Linked DNA regions of Rattus norvegicus. The protein of the gene in region 3 binds, or shares a complex with, the protein of the main gene of each other region. Links are inferred from orthologs where the notes say so. Each region holds a gene or a part of one and is shown on either strand. Other genes may lie near its edges.

The links.
Region 1: Wdr5 (region 3) and Yeats2 share a complex: the UniProt entries of both Homo sapiens proteins name them as parts of the ADA2A-containing complex. The link is inferred for Rattus norvegicus from reciprocal best matches to the Homo sapiens genes WDR5 and YEATS2.
Region 2: Wdr5 (region 3) and Cxxc1 share a complex: the UniProt entries of both Homo sapiens proteins name them as parts of the SET1 complex. The link is inferred for Rattus norvegicus from reciprocal best matches to the Homo sapiens genes WDR5 and CXXC1.

Annotation. Positions count from the first base shown.
Region 1 is NC_086029.1:94,313,594-94,320,419, forward strand, and holds part of Yeats2 (YEATS domain-containing protein 2), read right to left. Parts: intron 6,164-6,826; coding exon 6,066-6,163; intron 4,793-6,065; coding exon 4,700-4,792; intron 1,884-4,699; coding exon 1,638-1,883; intron 125-1,637; coding exon 9-124; intron 1-8. UniProt on the Homo sapiens protein: Chromatin reader component of the ATAC complex, a complex with histone acetyltransferase activity on histones H3 and H4. YEATS2 specifically recognizes and binds histone H3 crotonylated at 'Lys-27' (H3K27cr).
Region 2 is NC_086036.1:70,089,948-70,095,834, forward strand, and holds the end of Cxxc1 (CXXC-type zinc finger protein 1), read left to right. Parts: intron 1-108; coding exon 109-344; intron 345-432; coding exon 433-627; intron 628-981; coding exon 982-1,008; intron 1,009-1,084; coding exon 1,085-1,327; intron 1,328-1,480; coding exon 1,481-1,588; coding exon of another isoform or gene 1,589-1,600; intron 1,601-1,736; coding exon 1,737-1,921; intron 1,922-2,191; coding exon 2,192-2,399; intron 2,400-2,474; coding exon 2,475-2,585; intron 2,586-2,706; coding exon 2,707-2,756; intron 2,757-2,884; coding exon 2,885-2,981; coding exon of another isoform or gene 2,982-3,187; coding exon 3,188-3,340; intron 3,341-3,417; coding exon 3,418-3,564; 3' UTR 3,565-3,839; downstream 3,840-5,887. UniProt on the Homo sapiens protein: Transcriptional activator that exhibits a unique DNA binding specificity for CpG unmethylated motifs with a preference for CpGG.
Region 3 is NC_086021.1:31,247,737-31,254,562, reverse strand, and holds part of Wdr5 (WD repeat-containing protein 5), read right to left. Parts: intron 4,185-6,826; coding exon 4,109-4,184; intron 3,438-4,108; coding exon 3,404-3,437; intron 2,993-3,403; coding exon 2,918-2,992; intron 2,593-2,917; coding exon 2,505-2,592; intron 1,613-2,504; coding exon 1,512-1,612; 3' UTR 1-1,511.

The DNA of each region.
Region 1 (6,826 bases), on a different chromosome or scaffold from region 3:
GTACTCACTTGGACACGTTGCCGACTACTATTGTCTTCTTTACGAACAGTCGGGAAGTCTCATCTCCTGCGAGGTCGGCGCTCCGTAGTTCTCGTTTGTGGGAGCCACTAATACTAGACGTGTCCTGAAAGAAACGACCAAGGGTTGTGCTCACTTAAACAATATTCGATAGGGTGCTGCCATAATGGAGGCATAAAGAACTCAGAAAGTGTTCTCTCTCAGACAGCAGGGTCTTCTACAGCCCAGCAGGCCTGGGACTTGCTCTGCGGCTCTCGTCTGCTCTCCAAGTGCTCAGACTGTGGGCATGGGCCAGCACGCCTGGCAGCGTGCTTGTTGTTGTTGTTGTTCATTTATATTTTTTTTATGTCTGTTTTGCTTGCATGTATGCCTGGTGCCCACTGAGGCCACAAGAGAGTGTCAATCCCTAGGAACTAAAGTTACGATGACTGTGAGCTGTCATATGGATGCTGGGAAACAAACCCAGGTCCTCTGGAAGAGCAACTTGTACTCTTAACCACTGGGCTATTCCTCCAGCAGATTTTCCTTTTGTAAAGAAAGAGCTGGGCATGGTGGCACATGCCTTTGATCCCAGCACTTGAGTTCTGAGGACTTCCTAATCTACAAAGAGTGTTTCCAGGACTGTCTCAAAAAAAACACCACCACTACCAACAACAAATTAGTGGGTCTAGGGATGTAACAGTTGATAGAGTACTTCTCTGGCCTGTACCAAGCCTTGGGTTCAGGCTCCAGTACCAAATATTCCAGGTATGAGGCACAGGCCTGCAATCCCAGCTTAAGAGGTAAGAGAAAGAATGCTGACCAAACACAAGTAAATCTAAATTCTCAGAGTCCTGATTATGAGGTGTCAAAGTATGCGTTAATTTGCCTTCCTGTTTTATTTTTTCATCAAAAGACAAGTGAATTTGTAATGAAAAATAACAATTTGTTTTTATAAAAATGAAATCAAACATTGATGTCTAAATGTATGGAAAGCAACTTGGAAGTTCCCTTTTATAACTGAAGCTGTGGCTATGCCATCACTGGTCTAACTTGACTATGACTCTATAGATAAATAAAACACCAAATAAACCAGGCACAGTGTAGCTTCAATTTAGGCACTCACACTATCATAGCTGGGCGCAGTGATTCCAGCCCTCGGGAAGCAGAGGTAGGGCGATCACTACAGTTCCAGACCAGCCTGGTCCACATAATCAGTGCCTGGCTGGCCAGGGCCTCATAGCAAAACCATGTCAAGAAAAGAATTGTGTATTTTGGATTTTGTATGACAAATTACAGGAGTCACTACTTAGACATTCAGCCATAATCATCTGACTCTAATCCTTAAGGTTCTTTCCCAACTTCACGAATGACGTCCAAGAGCTATGCTGCACTCTAGAGTGCTTTGCTCTAAAGTAAGAATGCCACCAAAGTGTGCACACACACGCGCGCGCGCACACACACACACACACACACACACACACCAAGAGATACCTCAAGTTATAGGCTAGTCTGGTAAGCCCCAGACTGAGACCCTATCTCAAAGAACCAAAGGCCCTTTTCTCTGCTGTAAAAATCAAAGTACTTCTGTCCCGCCCACATGTAATAAACAGCAGGTCTGTTCCCCCTGGAGCCTGTACCCTTCCCGTGTTCCGGCTCAGTCTCTGCTCCCCGATGCTTGAGAGCCTTTCCTCCACATCCACGTTGCTGTTATTGTCTTTGTCAGATAGGAAGTCATTGTGCTGAGATAAAGAGTCACTTTCAGAGTGATTGGCAGATGGTGTTTCTGATCTCTGATTAGTAGGAGACGATGACCTAGAAGGTGATTCCAAAAATTTCTTGATAGCAGGGTGGTTAAAAGCCATGGGATCAAATGTCTTTAATCCCTAGAAAAAGGAAAGAAGCAAACTTAATTAAACCAACAAACACTGATAAAAACCTAACTCCTGAAAACTTCTACTTACGTTAAGATCATGTTAACAACCTTTCAAATCTCTCTCCATATCCTGATGGAGAGACGGCTCAGCTAGTAAAGGCTAGGCTCAAACCAAAAATAAATGAAAGAAAAAGGAAAGAACAAAATCTCTCTGTACCCATAAATTCTTATACTTAGCCTGTGTCAACAAAACAGAAACTAGAGTGACAAGTAATTGTGCAAAAGTTCTAACACTCAAAGTCAAAAATGAGCCAGGCACAGTAGGGGCACACACACATGAATCCATCACTCAGGAAACTGAGGAAACTGAGGCAGGAGAATCTGAAGTTCTGGACCACCCTGGACTACATTCAAAAAGTAAAATAAGGCTTTCTGTAGTACCACACAAATGCAGCTTGGGAGCATGCCGGTAATCCTGGCATCCAGAAGGTAGAGGCAAGAAGGCCAGGAGCCCAGGGTAAGTCCACCACACCCAGCAAGATTTGATGTTAAAAGGACATAGAACAGGCACTGTGGCTCACGCACACCTACAATCCCAAGGTCTTTGGAATCTAAGTAAGTAAATTCATCTTCAGTCCCAGGTCAGCCTGGAATATATAGCCTCAAAACAAACAATGAAAGTACACAGTATAAAAAAATGAAACCCACACTGGAGTTAAAAAACAACAAAAGTAGAAGCTTTAAAATCAGCAACGAAGAACATTCCTTCAGGCTAGCTCAGGGGCCTAAGTTCAGTTGTTCAGTTGGGTGCTCTAGCATTCATGTCATGTGCTCACAACTTCAACTCTAGCTCCAAGGGAATGAATCAGGACACCTCTGGCCGCCACTGGTACCTGCTCTCATGTGGACACACCCAGATACAAACACACGATTTAAAAAATAAAACAACAAACACACACGAACAAAACAAAAACAAACAAAAAACCACCAGTATCACTGGCTGGGCACGGCGCTACTGTACGGAATCTCAGTACTTGGGAGGCAGAGGCAGGAGGATTGCAGCTGCTAGATTTCATCCCAACTCAGACTCGTGCACACATGACAACACACACACACACACACACACACACACACACACACACACACACACACACACACACAGGGCGGGGAGGGAGAGAGTGAGAGAGAGAGAGAGAGAGAGAGAGAGAGGGAGGGAGGGAGGGAGGGAGGGGGAGGGGAGGGAGTTACACAGCTATTAATCAAAACAAAAGCTGTGGTGTGGGTGAAGAGACTAATGTTTTAAAATAAGATAAAGAGCTGATTAATTCGGTAGCAGTGCTTCTCAGTACTGTGTGTTCTCTAAACTAAAATAAGTACATGGCTTTATAACACAAAGCCTGGCCAAAGATTTCTTGAATTTTTTTTAATCTTTTTTTTTTGGTTCTTTTTTTTCCGGAGCTGGGGACCGAACCCAGGGCCTTGCGCTTCCTAGGTTGAGCTAAATCCCCAGTCCCTTTTTTTAATCTTTAAGGGTTTATTTTATCTGTCTGAGTGGTTTGTGTGCATGCACACATGTGCAACATGTGGATACCTGACAGCTGCAGGAGACAGAGGAGGGTGCTAGATCCCCGGAACGTAAAGTTACTGAGAGTTGCAAGCCACCATGTGGACACTGGGAACTGAACCCAACTAACGCCAACTACTGAGCCATCTCCAGCCCTTGGTAGGTCTTCATCAGAACACCAGGGGCTGAAACTGGTGCATTTCTAGACAACCAGACGGCCCAGATCCCAGTGGTAAATCAGCAAACCACTAACCAGTTTTTCAAGGTCAGCATCTGCTTACCGCCTCCTTTATCTCACGCAAATGCAGCTCATGATGTGCACTGTGCTGAACCAATACTGAGCTATTCAATCAGTGATGCCAGAACTGTGGAAAACACAGCTTCCACAATTCACGTCCAGCCAGAATATTCAGAACTTGCCTAAGGGCTGTCATCGTTACGGAATTGTACATTATATGCCTATTACATGTGCAAGCCGGGGGTTGATTACAGGCACGAGCACACAGAGAACAGGAGGGGGAAACTGGGGTCTTTGTAGACGCAATCGATTTAAAACAAAGTCCTACTGCAAGACGGAGGGCAACCCTCACCCAGGACTAATTCCTTAAGGGAACCTTAGATGCAGAGAAACCCTGGAAGGACACCCACAGGATAGTGCTTTATCTGGTTTTCTGTTTGTTTTATCTTACTGATCATTTGCTTGATTTTATAGTCTCTGATTTTGTGTTTTTACAGGTACTGTGCCTGTGTGTCCTCCACTGGCACTCTGGGGTTAATACACGGCTGCCAGGAGAAAGAGAAAATGGAGTAAAAAAGTTTTATAGTGAGCGCCGAAATGTTATGATGTCTAAGACCTTAATTTAAATGCTTTAGAGGAAATAAAACAATAGAATTTTAAAGTGATGAATCTACATGGTATGTAAACATGTTTGTCTTTCTCTTATACTGAAAACTATCATTAAGAAGTAGCCTTTGAAAGAGCAAGGCACGCTGGGTAAGGCAAAGCAAAAGAGGAAGACCCAGGAGGAGTTGCAGTGAGGTTTCCCTGCCAGTATTATACTAGCAATTAGTACTGAAAGGATAGGACCATGTTAAACAAATTGCCTGGTGATCTATGTTCCTCAGAAAGGTGCTCGGGCTTATTAAATGCTAAAGGCCAATATCAGAAAGGTCTCAATGGTAGGGAATCCACACGGTCCTGATTACCCCCAAGACAAGGAAAATGGTGGCTGAGAATAGCCTGGACCATGAGGAACGCTTACCTCAGAAACCTTCAGGAGACCAGCCGATGCATAATAGTTTGCTACAATGCAGGCTCGGAGCTTATCCATCATCCTTCTGGCTTCAATCAGCCGCTAAAAACAAGTGAGAGTTTAAATGTTGTTTAAATCGGCAAATAACGACTTAAAATCCACAGAACAAACACAAACAACAAAAGCAAAAACTCAGCTTCTTGAATTGCTTCAATAAATAAAAACTCCTCATCTAATTAAACTGGCAGAGATTCAGGCTGGAGATGTACTTCATGTATATAAGCAAAGTCCTGGAGTTTATACTTCTACCCCAGAGCAGACTGGGGACGGGGACAGTGTGTGTGCTTCCCTGATCAGTAAAGTCTTAAAAATCCCAAATACCCCAGGTCTAGTGGCATAAGCCTTTGACCCCAGCACTTGGAGAGGCAGAGGCAGGTGGATCTCTGAAGTTTGAGACCAACTATGTCTACAGACTGAGTTCCAGGACTCACACAACAGCCAAGAGAGAAAACTTGTCTCAAAAGAACAAAAGCAGGGGCTGGAGAGATGGCCACTCTTCCAGGGTCCCGATTTCAATTCCTAGTAATCACATGGTGGCTCACAACCATCTATAAAGTGATCTGGTGACCTCTTCTGGCCTACATACAGACAGAAGGACATGATACATAATAAACAAATCCTTAAAAAAAAACCTACAAATAAAACGAAGAAACAAAAAAAAAGTAAGTGTGAGCATATTTATTAGTTAAGAAATAACTGTAATATACTGAGAACGATACCAAAAAGGATTACCTTCGGAGATGGAAGCTCAAGTAGGACTTTTTATCTTTTCTCCAACTTTTACTTATTCTGGGTATTTGAGACAAAGACTCATGTGTCCCAGGCTGGCTTCAAATACAATTAGTGAGGATGACCTTAAATGTCTGGTTCTCCTGTCCCTACCTCCAAGTACTGAGATTACAGCTGTGTACCCATCCCTCAGCAGGATAGTTTTTTTGTTTTTGTTTTGAGACAGAGTCTCATTCTGTAGCCTCACCTGCCTGAAATTCATTATAAAGACCACGATGTCTTAGAACTCATAGAGGTCCACCTGGAATGCCGAGATTAAAGATGTGTGCCACCATGCCCAACATTGGAAAATTTTGTTTCTGTTTTTTTCCTTTCTTTCATTTTTGGCCAGAGGAGGAGATGGGGTTGCTCACTGGGTCCAAGCATTCTCTCACTCAGATATACCTTTACCCTGAGTCAGATCTTAAGGTTTTGTTTCTGTTTTGGGTTTTTTTTTTTTTTTTGGAAATTTTTTAAAAATAAATCTCATCAAATAATATACTTTCCCCTCCACAAACTTAGTGTTTTCAATTTATCGTTACTATACCTGGTCAATGACATCAATCTCATGTTCCTTATTCTTCATTTCAAGGGCAAACTGCTCCTTAATAATCGTCTCAATTTTCTGCACAGCTGCATCTCGAGCTATAGAAAGAACACAAAACATATCAAATTAATCAGTGCCTAGTGATTTAAATCAGCAGCCAAAGAAACCACTGCCTCCCCCCACAAAACCAGAAACTGCTTTGGGTTCATGACACAATAGCCTAAACAAGTACACAGAAATATAAAACTATATAATCTATCCTTAAATGGCTCAGAAAGAAAAATGTTTTTCATCTGCATGAAACTGTCAGATGGGGAAGAAAAAAGGAGGTTAATAAGAAAATATCGTGTGATAGATAGACAGGTTATAAATATAGCTAATAAAAATATCTTTTGTTGTTCGTGTGTGCGCGCGTGTGTGCGTGCATGTGTGCATATGTGTGTGTGTGTGTTTGTGCACATGAATATGCAGGTAACTGTGGAGGCCAGAAGAGGGTGTTAGAGAGCCTGGGGCTGCAGTAAGTGCAGAAGAGCAAAGCTCTTAACTGCTGGCCCTGAGCCATCTATCCTGCCTCAAACATACATATCATTTTATGTTAGTTAAAAAAAGATAAATCACTATTACAAGAAGGATTTCCTGATATCCTCCCTCACCTCAGGCCTAGGAGCAATGGGATCAGCAACCTCTGAAAGCATGAGTCAAGAGAAAGCTCTCCTCCTTTGACATTTGCTAGCAAACGCCCAAGTGAAACATTTAATGAG
Region 2 (5,887 bases), on a different chromosome or scaffold from region 3:
CCATAGCGTGAGCTGGACAAGTAGGTGGGGCAGGAAAAGAGAAAGAGGTTCTGGGACCATTCAAACCTCTCCTCCAAACCCACCTTGGCTCCACTCTTTGCCTCACAGAGAAGGACCCGAAGCTGGAGATTCGTTACCGCCACAAAAAGTGCCGGGAGAGGGATGGCAGTGAGCGGGACGGCAGTGAGCCCCGGGATGAGGGAGGAGGGCGCAAGAGGCCTGCTTCAGATCCAGAACTGCAGCGCCGGGCAGGGTCAGGGACAGGGGTTGGGGCCATGCTTGCTCGGGGCTCTGCTTCGCCCCACAAATCTTCTCCACAGCCCTTGGTGGCCACACCTAGCCAGGTGAGTAGCCACAGTGCTCGGGGTGGGTGAAAGTTCTGCTTTGGGCCTCATCTATATCCTCATCTCTACCCTGGATACTGTCTCCTAGCATCACCAGCAACAGCAGCAGCAGCAGCAGCAGCAGCAAATCAAACGGTCAGCTCGGATGTGTGGTGAGTGTGAGGCATGCCGACGCACTGAGGACTGTGGCCACTGTGACTTCTGTCGTGACATGAAGAAGTTTGGGGGCCCCAACAAGATCCGGCAGAAGTGCCGGCTTCGCCAGTGTCAGCTGCGGGCACGGGTGAGCATGGGCAGAGCTGGGCAAGATCAGATAGGAGAGCATGGCTGGGAGGCTCAAGTAGGGCTGCTTGAGCTACAAATAAGAAAGTACAGGTGGGGTGGAGCTTGGTTATGTTCAGACATGTGGGAGGGGCCTAGCAAGTTCAGGGGAAAGCTGGGGGTAGGGTGGGGGGGATGATAGCTTTAGGTTGTCAAGCATGCCAGGACACATGGGGTAGGATGGAGTATATCTGTGGTGAGGGGAGGGGAAAACTGCATTTGTTAGACCAGGCAAGGCCAGGGTAAGTAAATGGGGTTAGGACAGGGAAGACCTTTATTTTCCTGGGGCTGACCTAGGCCTTCCTCCTGCGCACAGGAATCGTACAAGTACTTCCCTTCCTCGGTGAGTCCAGCCCCCCAGGGCGGGGCAGGGCTGCGGGCAGGGCGGTCAGGGCCAGTCCTGAGATTCTGCCCCGCAGCTCTCGCCGGTGACACCCTCAGAGGCCCTGCCAAGGCCCCGCCGGCCACCACCCACTCAACAGCAGCCACAGCAATCCCAGAAGCTGGGGCGTATCCGTGAAGATGAGGGGACAGTGTTGTCATCAGTGGTTAAGGAGCCACCAGAGGCTACAGCAACACCTGAGCCACTCTCAGATGAGGACCTAGCACTGGACCCTGATCTGTACCAGGATTTCTGTGCTGGGGCCTTTGATGATCACGTAGTGAGTAACATGGTCATCCTGTGGTGGGGAGGAAGGGGAAAAGGTGAAGTCGTAGAATGGGGAGGGGGCCAGAGGGCGAACAGGCTGCTTGGGAAATGAGCAGCAGGTGTGGTAACGAGTCATCAGGTGGGTCAGCGCATGCCCTGCTTGCAGCCATGGATGAGTGACGCAGAAGAGTCCCCGTTCCTGGATCCTGCACTGAGGAAGCGGGCAGTAAAAGTGAAGCATGTGAAGCGTCGAGAGAAGAAGTCTGAGAAGAAGGTGATGGAGAGGGTAAAATGGGCATTAAAGGAAGAGGATGGCGCGGGGAGGGAGGTGGAGACAGCCAGACATCTGGAGCCTTGGAGAGGCAGACAAGGTCTGAGGCTGACCTCTGTGGAAGCCTGACATGACGTGGCTTGCCCTTTAGAAGGAGGAGAGATACAAACGGCACCGACAGAAGCAGAAACATAAAGACAAGTGGAAACACCCAGAGAGGGCCGATGCCAAGGACCCTGCATCTCTACCGCAGTGCCTGGGACCTGGCTGTGTGCGCGCCGCCCAGCCTGGGTCCAAGTATTGTTCAGATGACTGTGGCATGAAGCTGGCAGCCAAGTGAGTCTTCCCTGGGGCACTGAGGGGTCAGGAAGTACAGAGTAGGGGACGGCCAGACTTCCCTCCGTATACCTACAGTTAGTTGTCTAGGTACTGTTCAATCAAAACCCCATGGGCACACGAAGCCACTATGCAGTCCCCACCCCACTTCCCACCCCCCCAGTCACTCAACCTTGAACCTGTTTGAGTGACCCATCATTCACTGTCCCTTGGTCAGCTCACTCACTGCTTCTGGTGCCTCTCTGCCTGCACCTCACTGTCTCCCTGCAGCCGAATCTATGAGATCCTCCCCCAGCGAATCCAGCAATGGCAGCAAAGCCCCTGCATCGCCGAAGAGCACGGCAAGAAGCTCCTTGAACGGATCCGCCGTGAGCAGCAGAGTGCCCGCACCCGCCTTCAGGAAATGGAGCGCAGATTCCACGAGCTTGAGGCCATCATCCTTCGTGCTAAGCAGCAAGCTGTGCGAGAGGACGAGGAGGTAAAGACGTGGTAGAGTGGGCAGGACCCGGTATGGCGTCCTGCCTGGCCTCATCTTTCCTTTCAACCTATGCAGAACAATGAGAATGACAGCGATGACACCGATCTGCAGATCTTCTGTGTCTCCTGTGGGCATCCCATCAACCCCCGAGTTGCCTTGCGTCACATGGAGCGCTGCTATGCTAAGGTCAGGAGGCTAAGGGAGTGGATGGCCGGGGGTATCTATGGGCCCACAGGGACAGATTGGTTGCTTGGGTAGTGTCATGAGAGGGCACCCAACTTCCTTTTATCTGTGTTCATCCTTCCAGTATGAGAGCCAGACATCCTTTGGGTCCATGTACCCCACACGCATTGAGGGGTGAGTAAGCCGTGTGGAGTAGGAGCAGGGTGGTGAGGGTGGGGTGGGAAATAGGATTATGTGTGGAACTGGGGCCTTTGACGTGTTCTTGGAGCTACTCAAGGCCATATCCTGTGTTAATCCCACAGGGCTACCCGACTCTTCTGTGATGTCTACAATCCTCAGAGCAAAACATACTGTAAGAGGCTCCAGGTGCTATGTCCTGAGCACTCACGGGACCCCAAAGTAAGGTTTTTCCTCAAACCCCCTGCGTCCTGTCCTACCCTGCTTCACGTCTCACACCCATTCGTTCTTTTCCTCCCTTCTTTCTTCCTTCTCTTTTCCTGTCAGCTTCCGTTCCCGCCCTTTCTGTTTAACCATCCCCCACGCCTACTCTTTTGTCTCCTCTTGACTCCCCTCACCTGCTCACACCTGCCTTGCTGTCTCTGCAGGTGCCAGCTGATGAGGTCTGTGGGTGTCCACTTGTACGCGATGTCTTTGAGCTTACAGGTGACTTCTGCCGCCTGCCCAAGCGCCAGTGTAATCGCCATTACTGCTGGGAGAAGCTTCGGCGAGCAGAAGTGGACTTGGAGCGCGTGCGGGTGGTAGGTTTAACACTGGGGTAACCAGAGTCCCGGGCTCCGGGAGCTGCTTCTCATGCTTCCCTCCACTTCCTCGGCAGTGGTACAAGCTGGACGAGCTGTTTGAGCAGGAACGTAATGTTCGCACAGCCATGACCAACAGAGCAGGATTGCTTGCCCTGATGCTGCACCAAACCATCCAACACGATCCACTTACTACCGACCTTCGCTCTAGTGCTGACCGCTGAAAGTCACCAGCCCAGAGCCTCTCAGCCCTGCATTCAGTCAGGGAGGGGCTCTGCATTTCAGCTCGCTCTTCCTCCGTTCATCTGTTTATTCTACCACCCTTAGTTTTCTTCTTACCATCCATGTTTTGGCTTCTGTTTGCCCTTATCAGAAGGGTCTCTGCTTTCCCTTTGTCTCCTCTCCATAGTCAGTGCTGGGTGAAAGTCAAGTTTACTCAGCCTTGCCTATACCCTCCCCCAAAATAAACAGGTTTTGTTAATAAAATTTTGAACAAGAATATCTTTGGATAGTCTCCACTTTCAGTTGTGGTCCCAAACCCAGGACAAGGTAGCTGTACTTAGACAGGCTGTGGGAAATGTGCAGGCTGCGAGTACTGAGCTGACTCATCCTGTCCTCCCTTTGGCTATGAGAGTATGACCTGTTTGAGGGAAGTCCAATCATCAGGCCCCTGTGTTGGTATAATGGTATCCTGTCAGCACTGTGAAAGTCCTGCTAAGCAGGCTGTGATTAGTGAGGCCTGGGAGGGTGGGTGTAGGAAGCACACAAAATGGAGTCAGCTAAAGCAGCACGGGGTTAGTTTGGTTTATTCTCCACTGCTCTTCCATGAGTCAAAGCATTGACTCATTATCTTGGGTGGCTCAGAGTGTCCTAGGCCCTTGTGAGTGAGCCTATTAGTTGTTTAAGGAGGTTAACACGGCCGGTTAAACGAAGCTCAAGGAGCAGAAGTCCTAGGAGGAGATCGAGGGAAATTTGAGACCCATATATAAGGACTACAATCAAACCAGCATGGAACCAGGAACTGTCATCTCTCCTTCTGATGTTTATTTAGACTTTGTTTGACCTTTTCAAAGGTGTTTTAAGTGAGGACTGATAGCCTGCATAGAAACAGCTTTCCCCAAGGACACACCTAGATCTCCCCAAACACAAACAGCAAATCTGCCCCCACCAGTTGTGTAGAACTGTCCCAGAGATTTCATCCTGAGTGCGACGCATTCCAGTGGAAGGCTGTGGGTGTCCTATATCACCAGAGATGCTTCTGAGCTGCCTGTGGCATTGAAAGTTCATCTCTTACCAAGAAAATAGTCATTAGGGCTGCTCTTCCAGCCTGGCTGTCTTACTAGGGTAGAGGTTGGTAAGAGTCTGTAGCATGGTGGCCGGAAGCCAGGAAGGAGCCTGGTGGAGCACTCTGGGGCCTTTGTAAGTGCACACCTTGAGAAAATGTGAACTGGAACGCAAGGCAGGACCTCTGTAGTCTGAGGCCATGCATTTTCCTGAGTACAGAAGTACAGGTTAACCAGGTTCCCTGCAGTGCCAAGTAGGCTTTTGGATAGGATAGGCTGAGGGTGATATTGTGGGATTCTGAGAAGGGAATTTTTGGAAATTATAGTTAGACACTGTCAAGCATGAAGCATTGCCTATGGAATCTAAGGTTAACTGTAGTGTAGAGATATGACAAGTCGTTTGTAACAATTAGTATTTATTTATTTACATTCTGCTCGCTGCCCCTTCCCAGTCACCCCCTCCCACAATCCCCTTATCCCCATCCCCATCCCTCTGGTTGGGTGGAGGCCCCCTGGATATTCTCCCGCCCTGGAACATCGAGTCTCTGAGAGGTTAGGTGCATCCTCCCCCACTGCGGCCAGACAAGGCAGCCCCGCTAGAAGAACACATCCCACGTACAGGCCACAGCTTTTGGGACAGTGCCCACTCCAGTTGTTTGGGACCCATATCTACTTCATACATGCAGGGAGGCCTAGGTCCAGCCTTTGTATGTTCTTTGGTTGGTGGTTCATTCCTGAGAGCCCCAATGGTCCAGGTTAGTTGACTCTTGGTCTTCCTGTGGAGTTCCTATCTCCTTTGGGGTCTGCAATCCTTCCTCCTAATCTTCCAGAAGAGTCTCCAGGCTCTGTCCACTGTTTGGCTGAGTGTCCGCATCTGTCTGTCTGAGTCAGCTGCTGGATGGAGCTTCTCAGGGGACAACCATGCTAGACTAAGCTTAGTGGCAATCCTGGCTAACACAGGCTTTAGGTGTTCGGTGTTAGGTGACATAGGTGTCCAGTGTTTGCACAGAACCTGGCAACAGGCGAGGCATGAGGAAGTTTTCCCCAGTGGTTAGTGTTCCCACAATCCAGGTGGATTCATCTTTGCAGGGCTCCATTTTCTTGGAGACCTCAGAGGTTACTGTTGGGAATGGCAGAAAACCTAAGCATTCTAAATGCCATACTCAGCAGTGTTCTGAAAGGTTTGAGGACTACAACCTCTCTTAACCCTTTTAAAGACTATTTATTTATTCTAAGTACACTGTAGCTGTCTTCAGGCACACCA
Region 3 (6,826 bases):
GACCTCACCACCCCTCCAGAAACCCCAGCAACCTGCCCACAACATTGACCAGAACCCAGGCACATCTACCCATAGATGCCAGGGGCCACAGAACCCACGTCAGTGTGACAAGCCACCCTATTACAATGGCTTCTTCAATGTGACAGTCCATGTGCACATCACCTCCCTCAAGGAAGAGACAATGTACTGGTATGTATGTGTGTGGGGGTCCTTTTCCAACACCTTTGGATTCTTAATTGTGCCACGATGGAGCGGAGGAAGGGCCAAGAGGACCACAGCTGGGGACAGGTCTCAGCAAAGGCAGAGTAGAGCAGCTACTGACCAGGGCAACCTGGCTTCAATACGTATCAGTATTGACCTCGCAAGCTGCCACAACCAGAGCAAACCCAGAATCTCCTTTCTGCCTGTGCCTGTGCCCAGCAGCCTTGCCCACCCATCTGGACTCAGACCCTCTGCAGTCTGCTTCGTGTCAGGCCACCTGGGTTTGGCCAGAAGCAGTTGTGAAAATGCTGTGCAGTTCTAGCTTGGCCATTATCTCTTTCTAGCCTGGTCACCTGAGGATCCATTTGGAGCAAGGGCTAAGAGAGGTTTGGTGGATTCAGAGGCCAAGGCAGGAGGCTGTATCTGCTGAGGCAAGCACCAAATTGAACTTCTCCCTCCTGCACAGGTGACCCTGAGCCTCATTCAGAGATAAAGAGGGTCCAGAACCTCACTACATGGTGCCTTTCCAAGACTTCCTTCCTTCCACTCTCTCAACTGAGGTTCTTCCTCTCGAAACACTTAGTGCCAACACAGCCACTGGGAAGAGGAGGCCCAGCAGAACCCACCTCCCAGAGACTTTTCCAACTCCTGCAGGGAGGGGGTATGTTCTAAAGCCCAGATGTGAAGAGCTCTGTCAGAACTCAGGGCCACACCCAGTCCATACCCACCTTTTATTACAGTGTGTGGCTTTACTGAGTGATACCAGTGAGACAAGGGGACACTGCAACCACTGAGAGGTCAGTGTTGACCTATGAACTCCAAAAAAACAAAGGGACTTGACACAGATACAACTTACAACCTTTCTGTGTTTCCAGAAACTCATGGAAGCACACTGGGTACTATTACAGGTAGGGAACTTGAACAAGCAGGCCAAGGCTGGAGGCAGGGAATGGGAGTAGGGCTGTAGGTCCTGTTCCAGTGTGTGCACTGGGCAATACAATACCAAAACAACAATTACAGAGAAAAACAACCCATGAGGAGTTGGACTCACTCTTGTAATAAAAAATTAAAAAATTTGTTGCCTCTGAGCACACAGAACAGACCAGGAACTTCCCCAGGCAGAGACAGAATTGGCAAGAAATATCACAGTGGCTATCAAGACTCGGTGGTATATATGCACGCCCCTGGCCCGACATCTTCAGAGAGGAGGTGCACCAAGCCTGTCAACCCAACCTGGCCCCACGCCTCTGCCCCACATGTGTTTCTTGCCAATCTGGGTGGCTTCCTGAAGTCTCCCATGGAGCCAGGGCTTAGCAGTCACTCTTCCACAGTTTGATTGTTTTGTCATTCTCTAACGCTGCTGAGGCAATGATGTTCTCTGTTGGGTGACAGGCCGTGGAGATCACGACATCTGAAAGCAGAGCTAGTCAGTCACTCCAGGAGAAGCAGTAGCAGCACATGCCTCACCACCCACAGGAGCACCGCACAACTTAGGGGATGCTCAGAACGCCAGGAATAGCACCAAGAACCTCAGCCTTGCTCTGCTTGGTGAGGATCCAAGGGTCCTCACTTCTGTCTACCTGGCCTCCTCACTGGTCTCAGGGCTGACTACGCCCACTTGCCCACTATTTATGAGGTTGTTCTACCTGAGCAAGAGGTGACCACACACCTGAGCAAGGAGACGGGCATTAAAGGATGGCACGTGAGGTCCACTAACTCTGCCTGTTCCCTCAGGTTCCACAGCAAGTGTGACCAAGCCAATCCCAGCCAAAGACAACTGCTCTTTCAGAAAAAGAGCCCTCCACTCCTTAGCACTACAAAGGAGCATCTGATATCCCTGCCCCCTTTCAGAAAGTGGGCAGGCAAGAACTAAAATAAGTTAACTCCATAGCTGTACTCACTCAAGGCTGAGCATTTGCCCAGCAGATGGAAAACTAACATCCCTGAAAGAGCCGGGAGCCTCCAGGAAATGTGAGTTAGACACTCTCCATATTCGCTGAGTCCTAGTACCAGCAGCTGCAGACCCCAGGTACCTGTGCCTTGTTTCTCCAGTGAGGAAAACAAGCTGTACTCCCAGGAGGCTTGAGTCCAACTTAAGACCCAAAGCCAACCAGGCCCAGGACTCTAGGTAAGAGCCCTTGATGCTGCTTTCAAGGCCTCTCAGGCCTGCAGGGCTGGGATGGCAGGGAGAACAGAGTAGCAACACTTGCTTGTGTGTCTCTAAACCCCAGAGACAACCAAGCACCTTGGGGAGCTGAGGGGCTCCCCCCCACCCATGCGGCCCATCTGCAATGACTGCCCACCTGTATGACCCTGCAACTTCTGTACGATCTCCTTGGTCTGCAGATTCCAGATATATACCAGGTTATCTTCAGAGCCAGACACGATCCACTGCAGCAGCAAGCAGGCAGCCAGCAAGGACAGGCGATAAAGACATCAGGTTATATGCTGGGTAGACAGCACAGGTAAGCTGGCTGTCGTCACTCTAAATGCCTCCCATGCCACCCTCAGTCAGTGGAGCTATCCAGTCACCAGTCACCACCTCATCTTAGATCTTCAAGCATATCCAAGTGCAAGACATCACAGCTCCATCCAAAAACAGCAAGTGTGGGTTTGTTCCATAGGCTGAGGGACGCTTCATAAAGACATGAAGCCACCTAGGATGGGTGGCCTCTTAGAGAGCTGGCAGGGTAGGAGCAGCTCAGTGGGAACTCACCTTCCCACCTGTCACGGAGAAGTTGGCAAATATGCAGTACTTCTCATTCTTGTGGCCGGTGTATGTCTTCAGGCACTGAAAAGGTGAGTGTGTGCTGTTAGCACTTACGGTTAGCTTTCATTCCAGAGGATTCCAAATTCTGGGTATTACACATCAACCACAGCATGAACATATTCTAAAAATATTCTAGGGGTTGGGGATTTAGCTCAGTGGTAGAGCGCTTGCCTAGGAAGCGCAAGGCCCTGGGTTCGGTCCCCAGCTCCGAAAAAAAGAAAAAAAAATATTCTAGACATACACAAGGCCCAGACTTGGACCTGCAGATTAGTCCTTCAGAAAACATGTCTTTAAAGGGAGCTGTGCCATTCTCTCTCATCAAATAAGATGGCTGAGCCGCTCCTGCTACAACTCATGGGTCAGCTACACCACCCTCAACCTGGTACCTGGGACTGGCATGCAGGCCATACAAGCCACATGCCTGAAGCTCACCTTCCCTTTGCTGTAGTCCCAGAGCTTCAGTGTGCTGAAAGACAAGAGAGTAGAAGTGAAGGACAGGTCATCTTTGGCATGCCCTGCCTCCCCTAATGCCACCATATCTCAACAACCATGAGTATCAGGACAAAGGATCCTTTAGTTCACCAAGTTCAGCCACTCTACGATACACAAGAGCAAACAAAAGGACCCTAATACTTGTAGCTCAGAGACGGACTGAAGAAACAGATTGCTGGCTGTCTTCCCAAAACTAGAAGCAGAATGTGGAAAACCATGTTGGCTCCAGAAACGCCCAGTTTCTCTCCACAGGAAAAGGCTCATGTCGACCTTGGGGAAGGAGTGGGAGGCTAACCAGGATAATGCCAATCAGGCAACTCTCAAGAGCCAACTAGGCATGGTTCTTTGGAGACCTTGTACAGTGTACGCCAGAGGGGGTCATCATGTATGGCAGTGAGATTCTGCTACGTGAACATGCTTGGAGGCTGGGAATCGGCAGAACAGCCTAGGCCTCAAACCCTTCTCATACTAAAACTAGAGTGGTCAGTCCTTTCTTCAACCCCTCAGCCCACAACCCAGGAAGGAGCTCTAATGCACAGATATAAAACAGCTCAACTGGACAACTGGGAGAAGAAACAACACAAGAGGAGAGGAACCCCACCAACAAAAGCTGTGAGATCGCTCTCAGGGAACCAAAGCACTCACTTGTCCAAAGTTGCAGCCAGGATGTACTTGCCATTTGGAGAGAACTTCACGAAGGACACCGGAGGATTGTCGTCATCTACACAGAAGACAGACAGGCTGACCCTTGGCAGAACTGAGATGCAGTCAGCTCCCAGTTACCCATGTCGACTGTGATGCCCCTGCCACCATCACTCTTGAAGGACACCAAAGAGTTCTGACATCCATCACCTTCCCTGGCTGTTCACATTCTTAAGTCTTCACCCAGTGCCCTGCCAATACAGGCCTCCACCACACATGAAAGGAGGCCCAAAGCTCTCCAGCAATGCTCAACTGATCCCCTGAAGAAAGCTGCCTGACCTAGGGTGGTCTTACAGATAGCCTCTCACTCTTCAGTCAAGCATGCTCTCCTCCTTTCTTGATGGCCGTGCCTCTGCCTCCTGAAGACCAGGTTGCTGACTTTAGCCTCAGCATTTGGCAAGTGGAGTTGCACTGCTGAGGAGCCAGGCCTCCAACAAACTGCCCACATAAAAGCTTCTTCCCAGGGCACAGCGTTCGCTGCCATATCCTTCTGCACAGTGGGCCCCTGCGGGGTCTGCCCCTCAACTGGGTAAGGAGTGTGTGTCCTGAGGTGGGCCTGCCTAGCCAAGGAAGCCAACCAGGCCTTAAAATGTGCATACAAAGACTGGTGTATCCTGACACACATATTACCACAGGGGGTTCGCAGGGGGCTCCGTTTCTTGTGACTGGTCACAAACACTGAAAGGGACATGAGAGAGTAAGGCCAGCTAGGCCACATAAGGCTATTAATTGAGCTGACATGGAGCAATACCTGTGTGCCTTCCCAGGCCACCTCTGAAACAGACACCTGCAGGAATCTCTGATGTGTGCCACACCTCTAATCCCACCCAGCATTCCGGGACCAGAAGAGAGGCGAATCTCAGAGTTTGAGGCCAGCATGGACTACAGAGTGAGTACCAAGACAGACAGGAATACAGAGAAAAACTGTCTGAACAACCCCTCACCCCCTGCAAAAGAATGTCTAAACCTCAATATATGAGAGAAGAGAAACAGACCTTGGGCCAAATCGGCCTACCTACCTCAAGCTAGGCCTTACTGCCCACTGTCTGCACAATCTAAATCCTGGCTATGTACCTGGCTGTCCATCACAGACCAGGGTTTAGCCAACAGCAGGTATAGAACAGAGCACCTACAAGTTCCAAAGGCTGCTAAGATGGCTCTTGTGTTTGCTACACAGACCCAAAAGACCCATAGTAGAAGAGTCTAACTCTTAAAAGCTTTCTCTGACCTCCCCAAGGGTGCTGTGACACATGTACATGTATATATTGGGACACGGACGGATGGACACACACACACACACACACACACACGCACACACAATTTAAATAGACCTTACAGGGCACAGTATCACAATCTTTAATCCCAGAACTCCAGAAGCAGAGAAGCAGGTAGATCTCTGAGTTCAAGACAAGCCTGGCCTACAACATGAGCTCCAGCCCAGCCAGGGCTTCACAGACAAACCCTGTATGTTTAGAGGGGAAGGAGAAGGGGAGGGAGTGGAGGACACCAAAAACCCGAAGAAACTGAATTTTAATGTTCCCTAGGACAGTTGTTTAACTGAAGCAAGTGTAACCAACTCTAGCATTCCCCACCCTGTGGCGACCAACCTGTTGGAGCGCCTGTGATGGCTGCGTCTAACTGGATATGTACCTACACATCATTCCAACAGCAACCACTACCTCCTGGCCTCTGCTACAACTGGATACCCAGTGTTTTAAACCACAGCACAAAGTACACGTCACGTGCAAACACTGCATCATCTCACAGAAGGGACCCGAGCATCTGGGGACTTTGGGATCAATGGAAAGTCTTACAATGCTCTCCCAGATACTGAGGGGTGACTAGACTTACTACACGGCTTTCTGAGTGGTGACCTTTGTAGCTAAGATACAGCCCTATGAATGGAGGATGACAAAAGGTAGCAGATGTTTACAAGTGTTGATAACACGAGCACTAGGTGTGGGTTGGAATAGCTGCTACCAGAGAGCACCAGAGGTCCCTGGAAGACAAGATTGAGGAGGGGGATGGTTAGGACAGGACATTACTACCTGACTGCTCTGAAAAACCAGTTAAGCCAAAGAGTAGACACACAACAAGAAGAACTTAAAACTCAATATTCCAGGGTGACTGTGTCCCCAAACTTACGAAGTGAAGACTATTCACAGCTGCAATAAGTGGCTGTTTTGGAGAGAACATCACACAAGTGATGGTTGAAGGGGCTAGGGGTGTTAAATGAGAGCATGTCACTAAGAGTTGGGCACAGGGGGCTGGAAAGATAGCTCAGTGGTTCTAGAGGTCCTGAGTTCAATTCCCAACACCCACATGGTGGCTCATAACTGTCCCTAATAGTATCCAATGCCTTCTTCTGGTATGTCTGAGGACAGCAATGGTATACTCACATAAATAAAATAAATAAATCTAAGAAATAAAAAAAAAAAGGAGTTGGGCACAGGGAAACACAAGGTGTACACACCATCTGCAGGCCAGAGTAATGTCAGAAGTTACCACACCCACGCCACGTTGCCTGGCCTAAATGAGCTCCTATCTTCTCTGCTAACTCAGACATTCTATCCTAGAACCTGGTAGGCCAGAATAGCTACACTAGTTTCCCTACTAGTCTAGGGAGGTAGCCACTACCACAATGGCCGATCTATCCCCCAA